Linked DNA regions of Schizosaccharomyces pombe. Changing the gene in region 3 together with the main gene of any one other region gives a genetic interaction. Each region holds a gene or a part of one and is shown on either strand. Other genes may lie near its edges.

Region 1 (5,721 bases), 3.5 Mb from region 3:
TCAAATTGATGGGAAGAAGTACGCGAGAACAACAGAATCAAGTGTTTACGCGACAAAGAATGATATTTTTTTTAACCCTTTGACTTTATGCAAACAACTTCTTTCTATTTATTATTTTTTTTTTAGAGTCTTAATCCACCTTAGTTCTACTGCATTTAACAATTTCATTTTTAGTTTCAAATTTCTAAATATGTATTTCTATTTTGAGCTCTTATAACAAATGCTCACATGGTCCAGTGGTTAAGACTCATCGTTGTGGCCGATGCGACCCAGGTTCGATTCCTGGTGTGGGCACTTACTATTAAATTTATTTTTGCTAATTCCTGCCCTCTAGTTGGCATCCCAAATAGATCCATTTGAATAAAGATGAACACTTAACTAGAAAAGTAAAACAACCTTTCAACCTAATACTGCTGTACAAAGCGCTTTTATTATTCAGCCAGTATTTATGTATTACCTTTGCGCACAAAATAATTCGTTTACATGTCAACCACAGTAGATATACGTTAATTTTTTAATTTTATTTTTTCTTCTAGCAACCAAAGCACTTTAATAAAATTGAATATTTTTAAAAGCGTTTTCAATTTTTATGCTTTTTTTTTATCATAACAATATAAATTTCATCAAAATAAATATTTTATCGTTTTTTAAAGTACTGATGCCAGTTAAATGTCCGTATCGATTCGTAGAAAACAAAGTGCTTGGGTATAAAATAGTTTGATACGCAACCTCTAAAAATTGTCTAATGCAAAAATCCCACGTAAACGATGAGCCAAAAACTGAGAACTTAAAGCACGACACACATAAATAACTCTAAAGCTTCAAAACCAATGGGACAATGCAAAATGTTGATATGCAAAAGAAATGATGAAGTGAGGGAAAGCCTAGAGCTTCTATGTATTTTAAAAATACGCGCTCAGAAGAACTCAGCATAAAGTTGTCCCAGATGCCAGAGCATAATGTAAAAAGCACGAATGACAAATCTCGAATACAGTTAGACAGTGCAAATAAAATGCGATTGCAGAAAAGAAGTAAGAATAGTTGCGTGACACACCGAAACAAAAGTCCATATCATAAGAATAAAAGAATCGTAAAAAATATCCATCGTATTTCGAAAGAAATAAAAAATGCCATTACGAATTGACGAAAAAGTCCGAGTACCAAATCCACTCATACAATATCGTTATCATAGAAAATCATAAAAAACCCCAATGAAGCCAAACAAACATTGTAATGGAAACATACCATCAACATTGCGTGAACGAATTAAGTTGTACAACTCATGAAATAATGAAGTGCATAAACAAAATATACGCACCAACATCATTTGGAAATTTAAGATAGTATGTAAGGATGCTTGGCTATCAATTTAAGAAACATACACGGTATGAACCGCAAAAATCAATGATCAACTATTCACACACGGTTAGTGTAGTGATCATCATTTAAGAAAGGCATAAAAATTTTTAAGTATCATAATAATTTGAAAAAAAAAACTTCAAGTTATAAGAATTATAAAATAAAAATAGGTTTAAAAAAAGGCACAATTAAATATAAGTACCCATGAGAAATAAAAAATAAAATGGAACCGGAAGATAAAGAAATAAGTAAATAAATTTTCCCAGATTAAACAGGAGAAAATGAAAAAAAAAACCGAGATAGAGAGAAATGAAATATAATTTTTTTGAGCCGTTGGCAATGAATGTGTGTATATCAACGACACCGTCGTTGGAATAATGCAATGTAAGGTAAAATTAAAGAACAGCAAGTCTGGAAGCGACAAAACCGTTCAAAAGAGAAGACGAAGTGGATGGGGAAGGCATGGAAGACCTTCTTCGGAAATGATCTAAATATTGGGAAGATAACATATGAAGATCAGCCGACTTAGAGTAAGAACACTGCTCCGAAGTCGAACCACAGCCGGGGCAATCCTGCAGATGACATTCACGAGAGCAATACAAGTTGCCAGTAGTGGGTTTTCCGCAAATTATGCAATAATCCAAATCCATGTCTCTAACGAATACAAAAGGATGAAGAAATTAGAAAAAGAAAATTAAAATGACTTGTTAACGAGGAAAAACCAATGAATGAGCCAAGCTGAGGCGAGCTAGTATTGGATCCTATTGAAGAAAACCAGATAAAACGGATGAGCGTATAAAGCGGACTAAAAAGAAATTTCAAAGTCGAAATATACGGGACGTTTGGAAGATATTTCCGATTTAGTAGAGGAAGAAGAAAGAAAAGAACTTAGCTTCACAATAAAATAAAACAAATCCTTCTCAATTTCAAGGAAGAGATGAGTCCTGCGGGTGATTCAACAAGACGAAAAGAGGTTAGGATGGAGAAAACGAGGAAAAGTGAGTTCTACTCAATCACACAGCGAAACTGTTTGTCGAGGAAAACAAGAGACACTTAAGAAGGACAGTTCGTTTAGTTCAAGCAATCAAGAACAGCGAGTATAAGTCAAAAACCCTTTGCTGATCTATATGTTAATCTTCTACGACCTCTCAGTCGGACTGCTGCGCTCTATATATACATCTGAAAACTGCGCACGCAATCTGTCCAGATGATCTGACCTGAGATACCATACTATCGGTAAAATACGTTAAGAAAACAGCATACACTGTGTTTGATCTCATAATGCACATCCGACCGACTGCATATGCTAATACATTGCGTGAGTTGCGTACAATGTTACCTCTTCATAATTTGATTACAACACACAAGAGAAGAAAGCAGAACGACTGATGTGGGGGATTTGAGTCGGAAGTGGGAAACCGAGAAAAACACTGTGTGTACTAACTCGCATACTAAATGCACACACAAACGCTAGCTCAGCCGGGGTGTCATATACAATAGTAAAAACACACTACATTTTTTATTTTTTCATTTTAATTCTCGAATACTCTTCTACTCACTTTAAGCGACCTTTCGCATCATATTCTCCGCCTTTAAACCCCAAAAATACATGTGAGAAGACAGTTGTACGCCAGCTCACAACAACATGATGCTGATCGCACATCTTTGGACTGTAAAAAGAGGCACCGATGCAGTCAGTAGCGGAGCAAAATGGAGAACCATGGTGATGATGACTTTTTTTCAACGAGAGATTTAAGGCGATAGGTGGGGTCGAAATATAGCATGTATAAAGATGTGCAGGGCAGGGATGAAAAATTAAACTGACGGTTGGGAATGAATGAGAAAAAAAAGAAATTAGTTTAAATTATAATAAAATAGAATAAAATAAATGGAATTCAATAATAGAGAACTAGAGAAGTAAAAATAAAAAGAGAAAAAATAATAAAACAAAATTTACACATGATAGAGATATAAATATATTTCACTATTAGAGAATGGTTTTACTTTTATATATCTATTTATTTATTTATTTATTTTTTTTCGATTTCTAACGACAAAGTGCGAATCGTTTATTGATTATACATTGTATTTATGATAGTAGGTGAGCAAACAACCGGAACTCGAAAAATATTTGCGAAAACTTGCGTACAAAAAGATGAGTGAATTCTAATAAAATGAAATGACTGTGGCATGATTGATGTTTTGTTTCCCATGTCTCAATGAGTAGCATCAAAATTAATTTTACCTGTTGTCCTTGTGCGACACCCATAGCGGGAGAACTAGCTAAAAAAGAAGTGAAATCTCGTTGTTGTTTCACACATTGTCTTACAATTCCATGGAATGACTTGATTCTGAAGACGGTCGGAAGCAACTTTCTGCCTCGACCGGTAACGTAGAATTCACGTACCATTTACTTATACTCATGTAACCTTGTTGTAAGTGTTTGGGATCTTTGAATCTAACGTTCGCGGGATCTAGCACGTGTTACTCTGTAGTTTGCCACGAAGCAATAACTCCTCAGCAAAGAGCTAGGATGCAACACTCTGCCAACAGTAACAATCACCAACTGTAGTAGCTACTGGATCCGATCCCACCTGTGCTTCCTCTGTAGGTATGCAAAACATCCCACATAGGTACATCTATCCCACATTTTCACGTACCCATCCCACATGTATCCATCCTACATACATCCATGTGCTTTGCTATATGCAGAATACAATAGTGCTAAACGCATCAGAATCTTTTGGAAAAATTTTAACCTACTACTGGAATTCATTCATTTCATGAAATCGATTATTAAAGGACGTATGAATCTTGTTTACAAACCCATGAGGGTCTTTTTTGCATACTATGTTTTCAATGATTTTCCTTTGATCAGATAACGAACGCTGCGTGTTTCGGTTATGTGCTAGAAAAATCGCATTCCAACAAACGAGTAAAAATAGAATAAGATGGTTTAGTAATTAAACTCGAGAACGAAAAAAAAAATAAAATAAAAAAATAGAAAATATCGTATGTACGGCTTCTCAAGAAAAATTTTTTTCAAGTTCTTTTTCTTTTTTTGGCTCTAAGTAGGTAAGGCGTATTCAAATCAAAACTCCTTTCCCACTTTTTCCCATGTCTTCCTTGTTTTTCTTTGTTTTTATTTTTCTGTCAAGTTTCTCCTTTTTGGGACATTTATTTACTACTTTTTCCAGAATCTTGTATAAACACCCTATTCCATATGTATCTAGTACTATCCAGTGCAGCGGGACAAAGAGAAGCGTAGAGAAAAAAAAGCCAGTTATGCAAAAATCAGGATATTCGCTAAAGATATCAAGATGCAGATCATTCTCGTTTGTATTTTTTTTTCAAGGATGAAAAATTAGAAAAATAAAAAAAAGTAGAGAAAGAAAATGCAAGAACACTTCTTTGGTCATTTTTATTCAACATCGATTTTCTCATTAAAAATTTCTAATCCTTTCATGCTTTGTTGAACCAGTGAGGCATTTTTCAGTCGCATAAAAATATCAACAACAGGGGCGAGACACGGTTAAGGCAAGGGTTAACAGCGGTTCAGGTCCTTTTGCACGGATTCATGTCCGTAGCGACATTAGGAGTAAACCTTAGGAATATAAAAGTCAACCAAAAAATAGTACGTTCTCTTTCTTTCTTTTTTTTTTTTTTTTTCTCTAAATAATCAAATCCATAATGTTCAATCCTCCCACACCAATGTAATCCCGAATGTACGCATATCCATGTTTCTCTTAATAAACATTCACCATGGAAAAGAAAACACGTTACATATGGCGTGCCATTTCTTTCTTCAATGTAAAATTATACAAAGTTATACTTTTACGCTACCCCCAGCCTTGGCTTGCCCTCCCCCACCCTTCTTTCCATGACTTGTTTCACATCTATAGCGAACCTTTTCCCTTGGTCTTGCTTTGGTTGTCACCGTATTTCTGCGCTGTAACTTTGTCACGTGTCACCGTTCATTATTCTTGCATGTTCAAGCAACCGGTTTTTATCAAAATCCTATACATATATATTGTTACAATGAGCGCCACACGGCCCACATCCTACCCGCCTGGATAGAAACAATGTTACCAAGGAAGAACTTTGGTGTTGTCTTTTTCATGGGCCTTTTAGCTTAGTTGTTCGTATGCCTTGAAATTCTGTTCCTCATACAGTGCTACAAAAGTCTCGCTAATTTAACGTTGAAATTTCTACACTTTCTTTCATCTACCACGTAGAAATTTACGACTGAATAACTTTTTTTTGCGAGAAAACCAAAAAAAAAACAAAAAGGCCCCTTTATATTTATGTATAGATTTTCTTTTATTTATTTTTTAAAATTCTGGTATTCATACTATTCATCGA
Region 2 (8,307 bases), on a different chromosome or scaffold from region 3:
TGGCAACGTAACAGAAATAAATACCAACAAATGCATGATCAATTCCTGGACTTCTTTGCGGCCTGTTCTTTTTGGACCAAGTGAACAGTTGCCTAGGAACTTTTTGTTGCGCAATGACATTGTTCCGAATACTAATAATTCTGCTTGGAGCGAATATATACGCAATTTGTACCCTAAGGCATATATCTATTTACTTCAGTATACTATAGCAGTTTGTAAGCCGACTATCGCGCCAACCAATGTCGCTTGCTGCTGTAGCAAATGTAATTCCACCATGAGTCCTTTCTGGTGGCCTGGCAACATATGTCAGGCCTGTCATTGTTTGAGAGTTGAGTGATTTAAATTCTGCCATAAACTCTCCATGTAATTTTATATTCGTTATTATTATTATTATTATTATTATTATTTTATTTTTTTGGAGTTTACGTTACGTCTTTTATGATACTTTGCAGTGGCTTTACTTTTTAGCTTATCCAGCTAAGATGTTCACAAAAAAAGGATCAATATGTTTTCATCCGAAAACACAACAGTCATTCATTGAAATAGTTTATTTCATGTACATATTAACAACAAATAACAGTATATCTTTCACTGTACATTAGTTTATTGGATTTGTAAAACCGTTCCTTGAAGAACCCCAAAACGAAAATCATTTGTAGCTATCGCTCCGAGCCTTTATGATAAACAACTAAAAAATTTTAAAAAATTGGAACGATAAAAAATCACCGCTAAATAGTCCCTCATAATATAACACGCTCAAGCTTTAAGTATTATATCCGGCGTTATGCCTTGATAATAGCCTAAAGATAGCAAAGCAGGATATGCTAGTAAACAATGAAATTGCCATTTTGAAACGTAAAAAATAGATTTAGTAAACATGTAAATAGGTAGAAAAAAGGCTGATGAAAAATTATAATTGAAAACATTCTTATAAAACAGTTCAATGTAAAAAAAACCCGAATTTAGGCAGTTAATTTATAAAAATGCTTAAGAACTAGGATAAGGTTGATATTGATGCATCGGATTCATTAAAGGCATTTTTTGGTTAGGTGTTTGTACTGGTAGTTTAGATAGAAGTTCTGGACGAATTGAATTTGGGTAAGCAGCGATTTCTGGGACAATTTGTTGAGACAAAGGCCTTTGACTAGATAACATTAAATTAGTGTTTTCAATCTGAGAGCTATCCATGCCTTGATTAATTGGAATCTTGTTTAAATCTTCAATTGGTTTTTGTGGTTGCACTGGAGCACCTGGAGCACCAGAAGAATAATAACCTGAAGGTTGGAAAAAACAGGCTAATCTAGGGCTTGCGTTGACATGCAACCTTTCATGCTGCCGTAAATTATCTCTACGAGAAAAACGTTTTCCACATATACAAACAAATGGCTTTTCACTAGTATGTAGAGATCGAATATGTCTTCTCAAATGTTCAGATCGTTTAAACTTTTTGCTGCACTCAGGGCATACAAATGATTTACCACCTGGTGAACGTGGTACTGAAGTCTTTCTATTAGACGGCTGTCGACGTTTTCTTCTCTTCATCGAACCGTCAGTACCAATCGTCCCTATTTGTTCTGTAGCTTCCATTGAATTAGGGGATCTACCCGATGTGTTTGTCTGATTTAAATACGTTGACATTGTCTCTCCAGAATTATAGGAACCCGTAACTGACTGCTGAGGGGTATCATTATAGGAAGTAGAAGGAATACCACCATTGTATGAATTCACATTAACTTCTTGTTCAGCATGATAAGACGGGCCAGAAGATTTAACGGACGGACATGAACAATTGGAAGGGATAGAGGAAGCCGTAGACAATGGTCCGCTTGAAACAGTAAGACAAGGTGAAGGTGGAAGTTGAGATACCAACGTAGTATATGAAGGCACGAGAGCATTGGGATTATATGAAGGCTGTTGAAAAGGATAATTAGGAACAGTAGTAGGAAAGTTTTCACAATTAACATTGGGTTGAGCTCTCAGTAAGTTATTCTGATATTGGGTATGCGGCCGATACTCATGCGACCATTGGTAATTTATTTCTTGAGGATTGGGAGCCGTAGAAGCTTGAGTGTTATAGAAATTGAATGAAGAGGGAATGTCAGTCGCATCATGCGCAGTATTGGTTGAATACATATAACCCTGTGAAGCTTCGGTATGCGAACTCTGAGGTGGGGCAAGATTATGCTGAGCACCTGCTTTATACCAATCGTAGAATGAAGAATCTACCGTATCATCATACGTTTGAGAAGGTTGATGGTATTGAGCTATCCGACTTTTAGAAATACCAGGATTTTGAGGCGGTGGTTGGAATCCATTGTTGTTATTCAACTGTTGAGTAGTATTGTTGCTATTTAAAGTAGAGCCATCATTATAGACTTGCGAAGGGTGCTGCGATGTGGAAAAGGAAGCAGATGGATATTGAGATGTACCACCAATAAAGGATGTTAAAGGCTCAGTTATAAGTGCAGTATTATGAGATTGTGCGCTACTTGGCGAAAGGGAAGGAGCCAAAGAAAAATGAAGAGTAGAAACCAATGGAGGCTTATTATCTTGTGAATCGACATATGCAACACTAGAATTATGAGTTGAAGGATGTGAGGGTAAAGAATATTCACGACATGAATTGGAGGGTAAGGGAGATGATGATTGTGCTGGGGCAAATGGACTGGTGTTTACCTGGGGAACCATTCGTTCAGAAAGAGTAACAAGGGGCATTGCCTCAGGAAAGAAAACCATACAAAGTAAGATAAAAGAATTATTATAAAAAGAAAGTAAGCGAATACTTTTCAAAAATAAAAAATCAACTAAAGAAAAGACAAAAAGAGAGGTAACGGAATATAGTCTTGCTAACTTATTGTTTATACACTTAGCGTTCGTAATATGCAAGTTTAAGAACGAAAAAAAAGTTCAATTGCAAGGGGGATCCTATCGAAAAAATAAATGATTATGTAAGCCTTAAAATAGAATAGAATTGATACGTAACAAAAGGTATTTTTGACTGCAAACAACGTAGCTTGCAGCAAGAAATACAAGGATCGAAAAGTATAAGTTCGACAAATATATAAGTAAAGCGGAAATAATTGAAGAACAAAACTTAAAAGATTAAGGAGCAAGACCAAAAAAGTTAAACGGAAAGAAACAAACGATCGTCTACAATAACAAGCAAGCCAACAAGTTTATTGACACAGGAAAATCAAGTGTAAAAAATGTTAACAATACACAAAAAAAATACGTTTAAAGGGTCTGTAAAACTCAATGGCACTAGAAACTTGAATAAAGTATGATCGATTTTTAGAAAGCACCGATTTCCTCTTTGAATTTTACTGAAAAAGAAGAGAAGATATGTCTAGTGAGTGAATAAAAAGGGAATAAAAGAAAAAGAAAGAAAATGTATTGATTTGTCGCGGAAAGACGAGTAAAAAGGGAATAAATAAGGGACGCGACAAATCGAAAAAAAAGAAAAGGACGAGAGAACAAGTATGACAGAGTTATAAGGCTGTAGACATCAAAATCAAGACAAAAAAGATATGATTATTTAGATGTTTATAAAAAAAGATAAAAAGCCAGAATTAGTATGAGGCAGAACTGAGAAAAGTTAATAGTACGAGACGAAAGTGTAGTAAGTATCCAAGAATTGAAAGAATCAAAGCAGTAGAGGAAAGATGTATCTGGAATAAAAAAAATTACAGTACAATTATTAGAAAATAAAAAGAAGGAAAGCCTTGATCTGCTGATAGGAAAAGAAAAAATGCTGTGAATAAACAAGCGTTCTATCGAAGAAGCAATGTGATTCTTATAGATTGGAAAAAAAGAAAATTTCGAAAGGAAAGTTCCAAATTAAGATTCAAGAAGATAAATTAGGAAAAAAATAAGCTATTTGAGTGAAACGTTTACTTCACTACCAATGCCTCAAACCCACAGGAGCACGATGTGCAACAACAAAAAAATATGGATTAAGAAACAAAGACAAATGAAATTAAGGGGAAATTTTTAACTTTTGAATAATGAGGATAATAAAAAGGAATGGCTTTTGTACTTTGTAAAGGAAAAGGGTAAATGTATCAATTTATGTTCTGGTAACCTTTGTGATGCAATTCGGTATATGAGAGCCTGGAGCGATTATAAAAGTGTGTATTGTGCACACATATATCAATATATCAATTAAAAAGATTGAGCATATAAGAAGAGATAATAGTGTAAGATGGGTTTGCAAACACTAGCTGAGCTACTCCTTTGTAGGCAAAAAGAAAAAGGAATATTGGAGAAAAAAAGAAAAAAAAGGGTGTGTGTCGAGTGTGAAGGCAGTATGTATGACTTGAAAAAGGAAACGGCACACTCGGTTCCGACGAGCAAGGGGAAATCAGTTACAAATTCAACCGATTGAAAAGAGAAATTACTTATTTTTACTCTTCCCCAAAAAATATACTAGGCGTAGTAAAAAGCGCTATACTTTTGACTACGTTGTATGTATATGTATATGTGTATATAATACAGATGAGCAAGTTTATGTGGATGCAGATATATAGGGATATATGTACACAGACAAACTACCTTTTTCCTAGACGAGAAAAACTAAACGTTGAAACGCCAGAAGAGGCGAGTTTAATATGTGGGAAACTGAGACTAGCGCTTCAATGATGTGGAAATCTGTTCCTTATCTAAGAAGCGACGGTTTCGTTTACACGTATCGACACGATAATACCGTAGCGATGTTACGCAAGTGTGTATCCACCATATCAACCAACAAACGTCTGCAAGAGGCAAAAACTGACGGTTCGCTGACAACGAGTTCTCCCATAAAAGAAATGTGATGATGTTGGAGTAAGCCGATGTCACTGTAACACTCATCACGTGGCGATTGGGAAGACAGCACTTCCACCGTTTATGTAAGATTAGAAAAAAGACGCGATCGAGATTGTAGTGCTGTAAATTGGTATGCCAAAGTAGAAAAAACAGAGAGCAGGTCGTTTTTTGTTACAAAAAAAAAAGAAAAAGATGGAAATTTACGGCTTTATTGATTGATGAATAGTTTAAGAGAAACTCATTTTATTTTATTGATGAGTTTTCAATTTTTTGCTAAAAGTAACCTACGGGATAATCCGAGTGTGAAGAGGATGTGTAGCAAATTTTTACCTACATTCAATCCCGTATGCTTTGGCGGGGAGAGGGGAGAGATAAAGGATGATTATTGGTCAAGGTGAATAAGAAAGAAAAAAACTTGCTGCAGCAGCGACAACGTTCAAGTTAAGCGTAAACCAATGTAGCTTGGCAGATAGAAATGAAAAAGAAGAGGAAGAAAAAAAAAAGGCTATAGAACTGGAGCATATGGTTTGAGGATAAGGAATGTGTATTCCAAACTGAGAGACATAGTTATAAGTATGATTCTTTGTTTATTTTATAAACCATGAAAAACTAGAACTTTTATTATCTGCTACAATGGTTTTTCTAATTCTATTTGTTTACCATATGGTGGTGGTGATGGATGATCAGACAAGATATTGATTGATATCGTACATTGGGGGTAAAGAGGAAATTTTGCTATTGAATCTCGCTCCCATTTTTCGTTTGTAAACTTATTTATTTTATAATTATTTTTATTTCTTTTATTTATTTAATTAATTATTTAATTAATTGATTTATATTTTAATTGTATTTTTGTGCATTTTTTATAAGACCCGCATACTCGATGAATGCAAAATGTATTCTTACATCTTATTCAGCTCTATCTTGGGGTTTTCTCTACTTTTTTTCTGCCCATACATACACACACACTTAGTGCTTTCAAAAACCGACAATCCATGTTTCATTCACTGGATCGGCAGTTAAGGAGAGAGAGTAAATGAAAGGAGGGGCAAGGGGGAAGCAGGGAAATGCGTAGTTTTAACTTTTAACAGACCTTTATAACAAAGATATGAATTGTAAAATGCAGTCCAGTTTAATCCAATTCGCAAGCACTAACTCCATTGGCATAAATACTAACCCACCCTTATTGCTCATCGTGCGCTTCATTCATAAGTTGCTTGCATTGGCTGGCTACGAATGATTTGCTTGGGTACGCAACGCATTATTATTAATTACCTAAAAAAAAAAAAAGAAGGACCTAGCTCCTGTGTGTGTGTAAATTTTTTTCTTTGAAGTATTGAAAGAAAAAAAAATTTTTCATTCGTTTTATTCTTGTTTTTTTTTTTTTTTTATCTTTGTTTCATTTGTCCAAGAATGGTTTTGTGGCAAGTAGCTTAGCCTACATAACGTCTGTTTGATAGAATTGTAAAAAAAAAAAAAAAAAAAAAAAGCGAAAAAAAAAAATATATTCCCTTTGCTAATAAAAAATTGTTTGTTAACTTTCTTCTAGGTCAAGCTGACGATGACTTTGTAATTGTGTATCACGCACGCACTAAGCTTCAGTTGTTAAAAATAAATCGCCTTACAAACAAAGAAAGCAAATCAAATAGCATATTAATTTGTTTTGTTCGTCCGCCTCGCTATTCTATGGATCGATCTCAGCTCCAGTGCTTGGTTTATCTGAAAACTCACTCACGCTACGCCGATACCACCACTATGGGTGTCACTTGCTCCGGGACATTCAACCGACCGAAGAGAAAACAAGGAAGCGGTTGTGAGGAAATACCAAATATCTTTGTAGAGGTTTTCTGACATAGTAACAGAGGGGATCCCATAGGAAATTCAAACAATTACCATTGAATTCATTGGAAATGTTTGCCGAAGGGAAAGCATAAACTACACTACGCTGGACAGGCAATTACTTTCTTTCCATTTCATTAGGTGACACACGCTTCAAACTTCTTCTAGCCGATCTGTATAAGAGATTCGGCTGACGTCTATCGGTATCTTAAATTTGCGCTTTCTCTCTCCCACAAAAAGAAAAAACTACAACGCAACCGAGGTAACAGATAAAAACAACAAACGAGACCATTCCATGGCTGTTTAATCTTCATGCTTCTTGTCCCGTTTTTGTATGTATGAGAAATATTTCTAATATGGTTTATATTTCCCTTTTGACACTTTGAGTGGAAATACACTTTTGGTCGATATGCTACTCTTGTAGGTAGTATTTGCGTAGGCAATTAACTTTTACACTTGCTTCTTTGTGTGAAAATGAGTCGCTGTTGAATTCTTTTGCTTCTATTAATAATCCGCGCATATGAAAATGAAACGATCGCGGTTACTGAAAAACGAATGACTGTGTAGGTTTACTATGAAAATTATAGATGAGTGATTTTTGTTAAATAAAAATAATATATTTATTTATTTATATTTAAATTCATATATTTATATAGTTAAATAAATAAATAAATTATTTTTTATGATGGTTGCAATGCAGTTTTTTGCATTTTGACATCACAAGATTGGTATAACGAAGACTAATTAGTAATAGTATTCTGTTTTGTTTATCTATTCGTTTGCTTGTTTTTTTCATTACTTGTTTTTCCTCCTGCTTACTCTCCTCTCGGATGATTTGTATTTTTGCATTCAACCATGTTTACTCCTTCTTGCAACCTAACACTCAATTTGATCGTCTATCAAAAACATGGTCAACCTTTTTAACTCGGTCTTTCACTTATCTATCTTACTAGTGGGTACTTGCTAACCTCGTTTCTCGTTTCTCGTTTATTCCTGTTCCTGTTCCACGGAGTATACAGAGAGAAAAGGCGAGACATTCATGTGGATAACAGGTCTGTCTCGAAGGTGGGCGATAGATTTTCAATTAACTAATCCATTCAACAAGTACTGATAGAGAAAACCTTATATCGCAGCACATAATAGATTATACTATAACAATCGGAACCAAACACTGTTGGACTAGGGGTTAAGGGCATTTGAATTTTGCATGTATCGGGGGTGCTTTTTTTTTTTTTTTTTTTTGGATCTCTTTTTTGTTAACTTCTCCTTCCTCGTACATGTGTTGGCAAGCGAAAAAGAGACATATTCCCCTAGGATGTGCTTTCGAGTTAAAATTTGTAACAACATGAAAATTCATATCAAGACAGACAAAAACGTGTTATTTCATTTGTTCGAATGCGTTATCGTATTCGATGTTGATTTTTAGAATAATAGAATCGTATGACTTGTTGGCTGTTCAAATGTACGAAAATTCTTTTAGCGATGTAAAAAACAGTGGAGTAATTAAATTTGTCAATATACTCTTTTTAACTTTGCCTTGAGTACCACATTCCCTTACATGCATGAAAAGTGTTATTTTAGTCACGGTACTATGCCAGCAAATTTGCCGACAGTTAGAATAAATAATTAATTAAATGAATAAATTGACTAATAAATTAATTAATT
Region 3 (6,337 bases):
CCCAAAAGGATGATGGTAACAATGGCACCAGCAAGAGTTCCGAAACCTTGGAAGGCAAAAATTAAAGAAATAAGTGTACCACGTCGTTTAATTTTACTACGCTCAGAAGTGATAGCGGCAGACATTGGATAATCACCACCAATACCTACACCGAGCAACCAACGCCAACAGAAAACCCACATCATTTTCGAAAGAGGAGAATGAATGCTTTTAGGCATAGCGATAACCAGAACAGTAGCGATGATAACAATAACCATTTCTTTACCGTAGACAAATTTACGGCCAAAGAAATCACCCATAAAACCAAATAACAGTTGTCCAAAAATGTTACCAATATTGGCTGACGCATTTACAAGACCACGAATACCAGAGGGATAATGGCCTTTTCCTGTGGGACCTTTTTCAATACCACCCCAATAAAGATATTCAAAAATGGGAGTAACTAAATTGATGATAAAAAGATCGTAACTGTCAAGGAAAAACCCGACACCTGCAAGCATCATAAGTTTAAATTCGCGCTTTGTCAACCCCAAGTAATAGCGACGCTCTTGCGCACCCTCTTCGACTTGGTCGAGAGGTACTGCATCGTCGTTATACTCATCAGACTTAGATCCAATGTTTAAAATTTTGCTCCCAAATGCCATCTTGTGATTTCCTTGCGTTCAAAATATGAGAGAAAAGGAAAGCAATGAATGATAAAGTAAGTCTTAATCGCTGCTTTATGCAAATTAATGAAGTCCGAATGCGGTTGCAATTAGAATTAAGAAAACTGAGTACCGGTGGTTTACACACACAGATAATTCAGTATGCAATGGAGCAATATATATAGTAAACTACCAGTTTGTCAGATTGGTGGCTTTGTTATAGAAAAAAAATTAATAATTAAGATCAAAAGCTTTGGTGTTGACGTTCCCTGGCAACCGGCACATTCACCACCTGCTTAATCTTATTTCAAAACAAAATAGCAAAACAGGAAGAAATCGGAAATGCAAAACACTATGTTTATAAGTAAACCGTCCAATTTGCTTTGTAACTGATATGAATCCAATAAGGAAATATAAAAAAATAGTAAAAAAATATTAACAATTAAAATTTTCTATTTCAGGATTAAGGTAACGCGGTGTTAGAAAACTGAGGGAAAGTAATGGGTCAATTTGGTTTAAGATTTGCACTTTAAAGTAAAAGAATTAGCACTAGCGGACAACTGCAAAAACAGACAATTATACTAAAGGGGTATCAGTTCATAAAAAAGTTGCAAAAGTGGTAATACCCTCGTTAGACCCACTCGGAAATCTTAAGTTAATAACGTTGACATTACTAATTGAGACAAAATTGTAGTTAAGAGACAAACTCATACTGCAGAGAACTCAATACGGTATGCATTCAAAATGAAATTTGCGAAAATAAAAATCAGTATGTCATTATACAATACAGAATTGGCCCAAGTAAAACACGGTTTAATCGTCGAGCTGTTTGGTTTTTTCAATTCCATGGAAAGCACGCGATGTCGTTGTTTTAAAACCAGTAATCGGCCGGTTTCAAAAGTATACATTCCAGAATACCACGGATTGATGCTGTGTAGCTCAATGCATGCCCACACACAGAACACCCGGATAAGTTGGTTCCGATATCCTCCAACCCGATAGGATGTTGGGTGATAAGATTTCTTTGACAAAATAGACATCAACAAAGCATGCATGCTTCCACTTCCATTAAACTCGGCGAACGGAAATGCCGCCATCCTACAAAATTCCCCTCACCTCTCCTATTGTCGGTCTTTGAAATTAACAACTACCAGGTACCGAGCAGAATGTTCTGCACGGAATTGACCTGACAACCGGCATCCGCACAAAACAGCCACTTCAGCAATTTCGGTTCCAAGTATGTTCCATTCATGCACGTAAACCGTAGTTTATTTTAGGAACCTCAGTTTACCGAACGCTAAAATTTATTAGGCAGCATATACTGCCGAAGCAAAAAGATGAACGGATACGAGGATTTTACCGCCCGCCACCCTTCAACAAGTGTAATGGATATAAGATGATTTGATAGTATTCGAAAATTTTTGAATTTTCGTGTCGAGTAGCAAATTCCATTGTTTTACATTCTTGCTATCTAATTAAAAGCAACGATGAGTTAATCTTTCGTGCATTATTCTAGTTCGACAAAACGCAGAATAATTTTCAAGAAAAGACCGTGGAAACTAATTAATTATTATAAGGACAGATGTCGATATTAATAAATTTCAATTTCTAACGATTTTCATAGTTTAATTTGTTATGAATTAATTCTATCTCATCCTCTATGACTTATTTCGTTCTATTTCATACTACCAATGCGTTTAAATTAAAATTAAAAATTTGAATAGTTAGGTACTCAGGCTTCTTATATAGCTATTGATGCAGTGTGTGACGTCATTTTTTTAAATTGAAAAAGGGGGTTTTTGACAGGGTAAGATTGTGTACCGTTCGGTATGCAAACTGAACTGGAAGATTGGAAAAATTAAACCCTTTTCTGAAAATAATAGGAATTAAGTTAGGATAGTCGAAACAATTTCTTCCATATAACTATCGTGATCAGTCAAGGGCAGTTTACTAATTTATTTCCAGCGTCGTATATTGCCGAATTCACACGCATTTTACTCACATCGTTCGAAGATAAAAAAAATATAAATAATAAAAATTGAAATTCGTGTAAGCGAAAAGGAATGTGTGAGAAGGATTTTGGACTGTTCTATTCTCATGGGAATGTGAAGTAACTACTCTCTTGCTACCATAGTTGCTTGTTGTGACTTGACATCGTATAAGTGACTGTAAATTAGATGCCGGCTCCATGTCGCACAATAAACCTTTTGAGAGAAAATAAATTATGACATTCCTAAGACTCGGCAATTTTGATTTGTTATTTTTTTTTATTCTCTCAACATTTCCCTAGATTCACAGTCGAGAATGATACGTTGATACACATCCTTTCACGGTAATCTGCAATCCCTGTTTATGGTTTTACATCGTCCTTCGTAATTCTTGTCTTTCTTATATATATATGGAGGAGTGCGTTTGAGATACGCCAGGACTCTAGAGAATTCTTCTCTTTCATTTATCTACGATAAAGTCTTCGTTTCTCCTCTCATTCTTTCACTAGAATAGAGAAAAAGAAGGACAATTGCAAAAGCTCTTTTTATAATTCAATCTTCCTTCTCAATTTTTTTTTCTATTTTCAAGCAAACCAACGGATTTTGACGTTCGTCTTTTCGTTATCTTTCAAAGTTAGCTATTTTAAAGAAAAAATGGATTTAAACTTATGTTTGCTATGTGGTAACTCCATCGATGCCGAAGGATTGTATTGCTCAAATGAATGTCGAATTCAGGATAAAGCTACGACAGAGCTGTTTTCTGATCCCTTGAAGTCGCCTTCTCTCAACGAGACAATAGACTACCTTGCTTTGAATTACTTTGATCTTTTCAGCAGACGATCTTCAATGTGCTCTTCGTCGAATTCCTCAATTTATTCTGGGATATATTATACCGAATTGAAGAATTATAGTGTTGAGAATTAGAAAATTTTTTACCTTTAATGTTTTTTCTACTCTTTGAAGCATTTCTCTTCTATTTGATCGAGCTACATAAATTATCGGTTTTGAGGCTATTGGAAGTTAGTATCAAATAAAATTTGGTATAGTTTGGATTTCCCTAATCATTTTTTCATTTTCGGCTTCATTTGTTTTTTACATTCTCTTTCTTAGTTACTTACCTACAGTTCTTTCGCGTTTCCTCGGATTTTTTTTCTTTTCTTTTATCACCCTCACTAATTGCATTATTTATCTTTAATTTTCTTTTGAAATTAAAAAAAAAAGAGGGTCTACTTTAATTTTTTTTTCTTCAATCCTGAGCTCATTTAGCATCACTTTAGAATGTTTCATAATGATATTAAGGGATATCCATTTAAATATATTACGGAGCTTGTCACTCTACCCTTGAGTCTATCTTAAAAAAATACATTTACAGAATCATTTGTTTACGATAACATTATTGATATTCATTTATACATTTAAAGCTTTTTTTTTTATTAAAAAGCATTTTCTTTATATTAATAGGACTAACGTCAATTTCCTTTCATTTGCATACATTCGGCAATAATGACTAGCAATTAACACCAATGCTAGAACGATCTTTTTTGTTTTATTATAGTGTGCCTAATTTTCTTTATTTTTCGTTATTTGTGGCTGCATTTTTTATTTATTTATTTATTTATTTATTTACATCTTGTCATTTAGTTAAAAATTTAATGAACTATTTTTGTTTAACTAATATTAATTTGTCATTTCATCTTTTCTTTATACATCTTATTTTACTGAATCAGAGTTATTTGAATTAAATAATAATTAATTTCGCTTCTCGTTTTCTATGCACCATACAACTAGTAAAGATTTATTAAAGATTTTTTATATACTAAACTTTTAAAAATGTGTACAAAAAGTGGGACGTGTAGATGTCACTGATTTGGATTTTTTCTGTAAATTAGCTTCGGCAAATTTATTAGAATAAGAACAGTAAAAAAAAAATAAAGATTGGAATGTGCTTAAGATTTTTCTCAAGAAGTGTAAATGCTACGAATTCAATAATTATAATAAATTTGTAAATAATATAAAGAATCACAAATGCAGAATTACCATATCATTGATGTCTACATGAGTTAAGACCTTGGCGAGTTTAATAGTACATGAACATCATAAAAAATTTCAAAAATAAACTTAATATTGCCACAGGATGGAGATTTAGTATCCCATTTGTTTAGTATCCTGCTAGCTCATCCATAACTGGAAAATTAGGAAATAAACAACGAAATACTGTTTATAATCAATGAATATTCAAGGAAAAACAACCAACCAAAATTTACAGCATAATAATTAACGACGAAAAGATGGAAATACCGTAACGATGCGCAAACCTCCATACTGAAGTTGTAAATGAATCAGTCAACCGTTGGAAACAGCGTAGTTCATATTCTAAAGTGTGGTAGCGAATATCTTTCTTAGTATTTCTAGCTGCCGAGAGATCTACCAACGAACTCTAGGTCTCCGCAAAATTTGACAAGAGTGGTACTCGGCCTGGATAACTTTATGTTCAGAAGAAAGATCATCGTCATGGCATATGATTATCAAAAATTCCCCGTGTTTAAGTATCACAACTCAGATAACAATACCAAGGAGAATAGGAAACCATAGAATACAGTCCGTGAGTAGACACTCAAGGAAATTGACATCAATTCACAGTCTCCATTGCAAAGTCTTGGTGTGGATATATTATATTATAATATTAATACAGGAAACAATGAAAACGCTTGAAATAATGATGCCTGATATTTTCGAAACACCTTGCGCTGCAACGTGTGCTATTTTGAATTATATTCAGGTGCAACAACAGACATAGTTGAATTACCATGACTGTGCGAATTTTACTAAACTAGAATAATCAAGAAAGGCTGATAGTAACTAAAAACGTTTATTGCACAAATTGGGAACTGATTTACGTAGTAGAAATGAAAAGAAATGTAAATCCATGAAGCAACTTATATAATTGAAGAATGGTAAGCGCTCAACTAAATTGATATAATAATCCAAAAGCTATAACCCTTGAACTTGTTGAAGTAAAAAATCTCATCCATTGTTATTGAATAAATGAACACTTTTGAGTATTGCACTATAGCAATTTATATTATATCTAATCACTGCTCTGTTTCAATTGTCAGTTTGCCTATATATGGAAGATGATAGATGAGGTACGACGAAATCAAAGTTTTCTTTAGTATCGAACGGTTGGATGCATAAAATTAGATTAATGACTATTTAAGTAATTCCCCCTTTCTAAAAATTATTTTTTCTAATTTCAAGGCTACAATTTTATTTTATTTTTTTATTTAAATGGTTTTCTCTTACCAACAGCTCTTAGTTTAACAAATTGATGACTTCACATTGACTGCTTGCTTTGAGCAAATACTTGTAAAAGTAATAAAAAAGCGATAAGTAAATATGAAGGATTCTCCATAATTACGAGAACACATGCTTTAGGACTATATATTTTCGCTACAATCAATAACATTATTCCGGTTTGAGGTACTCTGAACACTGCTATTGCAAATAAATACTTAGATGTTCAGAACTGAACTAATAATATATTAAAAATCTTACAATAAAGTTAAATACATAAGCCTTGGCACATTGTTCTACGGAATAACCCCTTTATAAATCAAAATGCTCGCTGTGATTAAATAATTTAATGAATTCACAATTGTAATTACGATCTTAATGCACTACACTTTGCCAAATTTTTTCTTTTTA

Evidence for each region. Genes that interact genetically often act in the same process or in processes that back each other up.
Region 1: of ecl3 (region 3) and ecl2, changing one enhances a phenotype caused by changing the other (phenotypic enhancement), as found in Schizosaccharomyces pombe (one study listed by BioGRID).
Region 2: of ecl3 (region 3) and hsr1, changing one suppresses a phenotype caused by changing the other (phenotypic suppression), as found in Schizosaccharomyces pombe (one study listed by BioGRID).

The regions. Positions count from the first base shown.
Region 1 is NC_003423.3:960,507-966,227, forward strand, and holds ecl2 (protein Ecl2), read right to left. Parts: upstream 2,010-5,721; coding exon 1,755-2,009; 3' UTR 501-1,754; downstream 1-500. Other genes in the region: SPOM_SPBP35G2.17 (uncharacterized protein), read right to left, coding at 3,449-3,769.
Region 2 is NC_003424.3:1,953,740-1,962,046, reverse strand, and holds hsr1 (DNA-binding transcription factor Hsr1), read right to left. Parts: upstream 4,575-8,307; 5' UTR 2,737-4,574; coding exon 988-2,736; 3' UTR 501-987; downstream 1-500. Other genes in the region: Lid2 complex PHD finger subunit Snt2, read left to right, coding at 1-337. UniProt on the Schizosaccharomyces pombe protein: Transcription factor that globally supports gene expression in response to hydrogen peroxide.
Region 3 is NC_003423.3:4,438,559-4,444,895, reverse strand, and holds ecl3 (protein Ecl3), read left to right. Parts: upstream 1-3,068; 5' UTR 3,069-3,286; coding exon 3,287-3,556; downstream 3,557-6,337. Other genes in the region: pho84 (inorganic phosphate transporter), read right to left, coding at 1-644.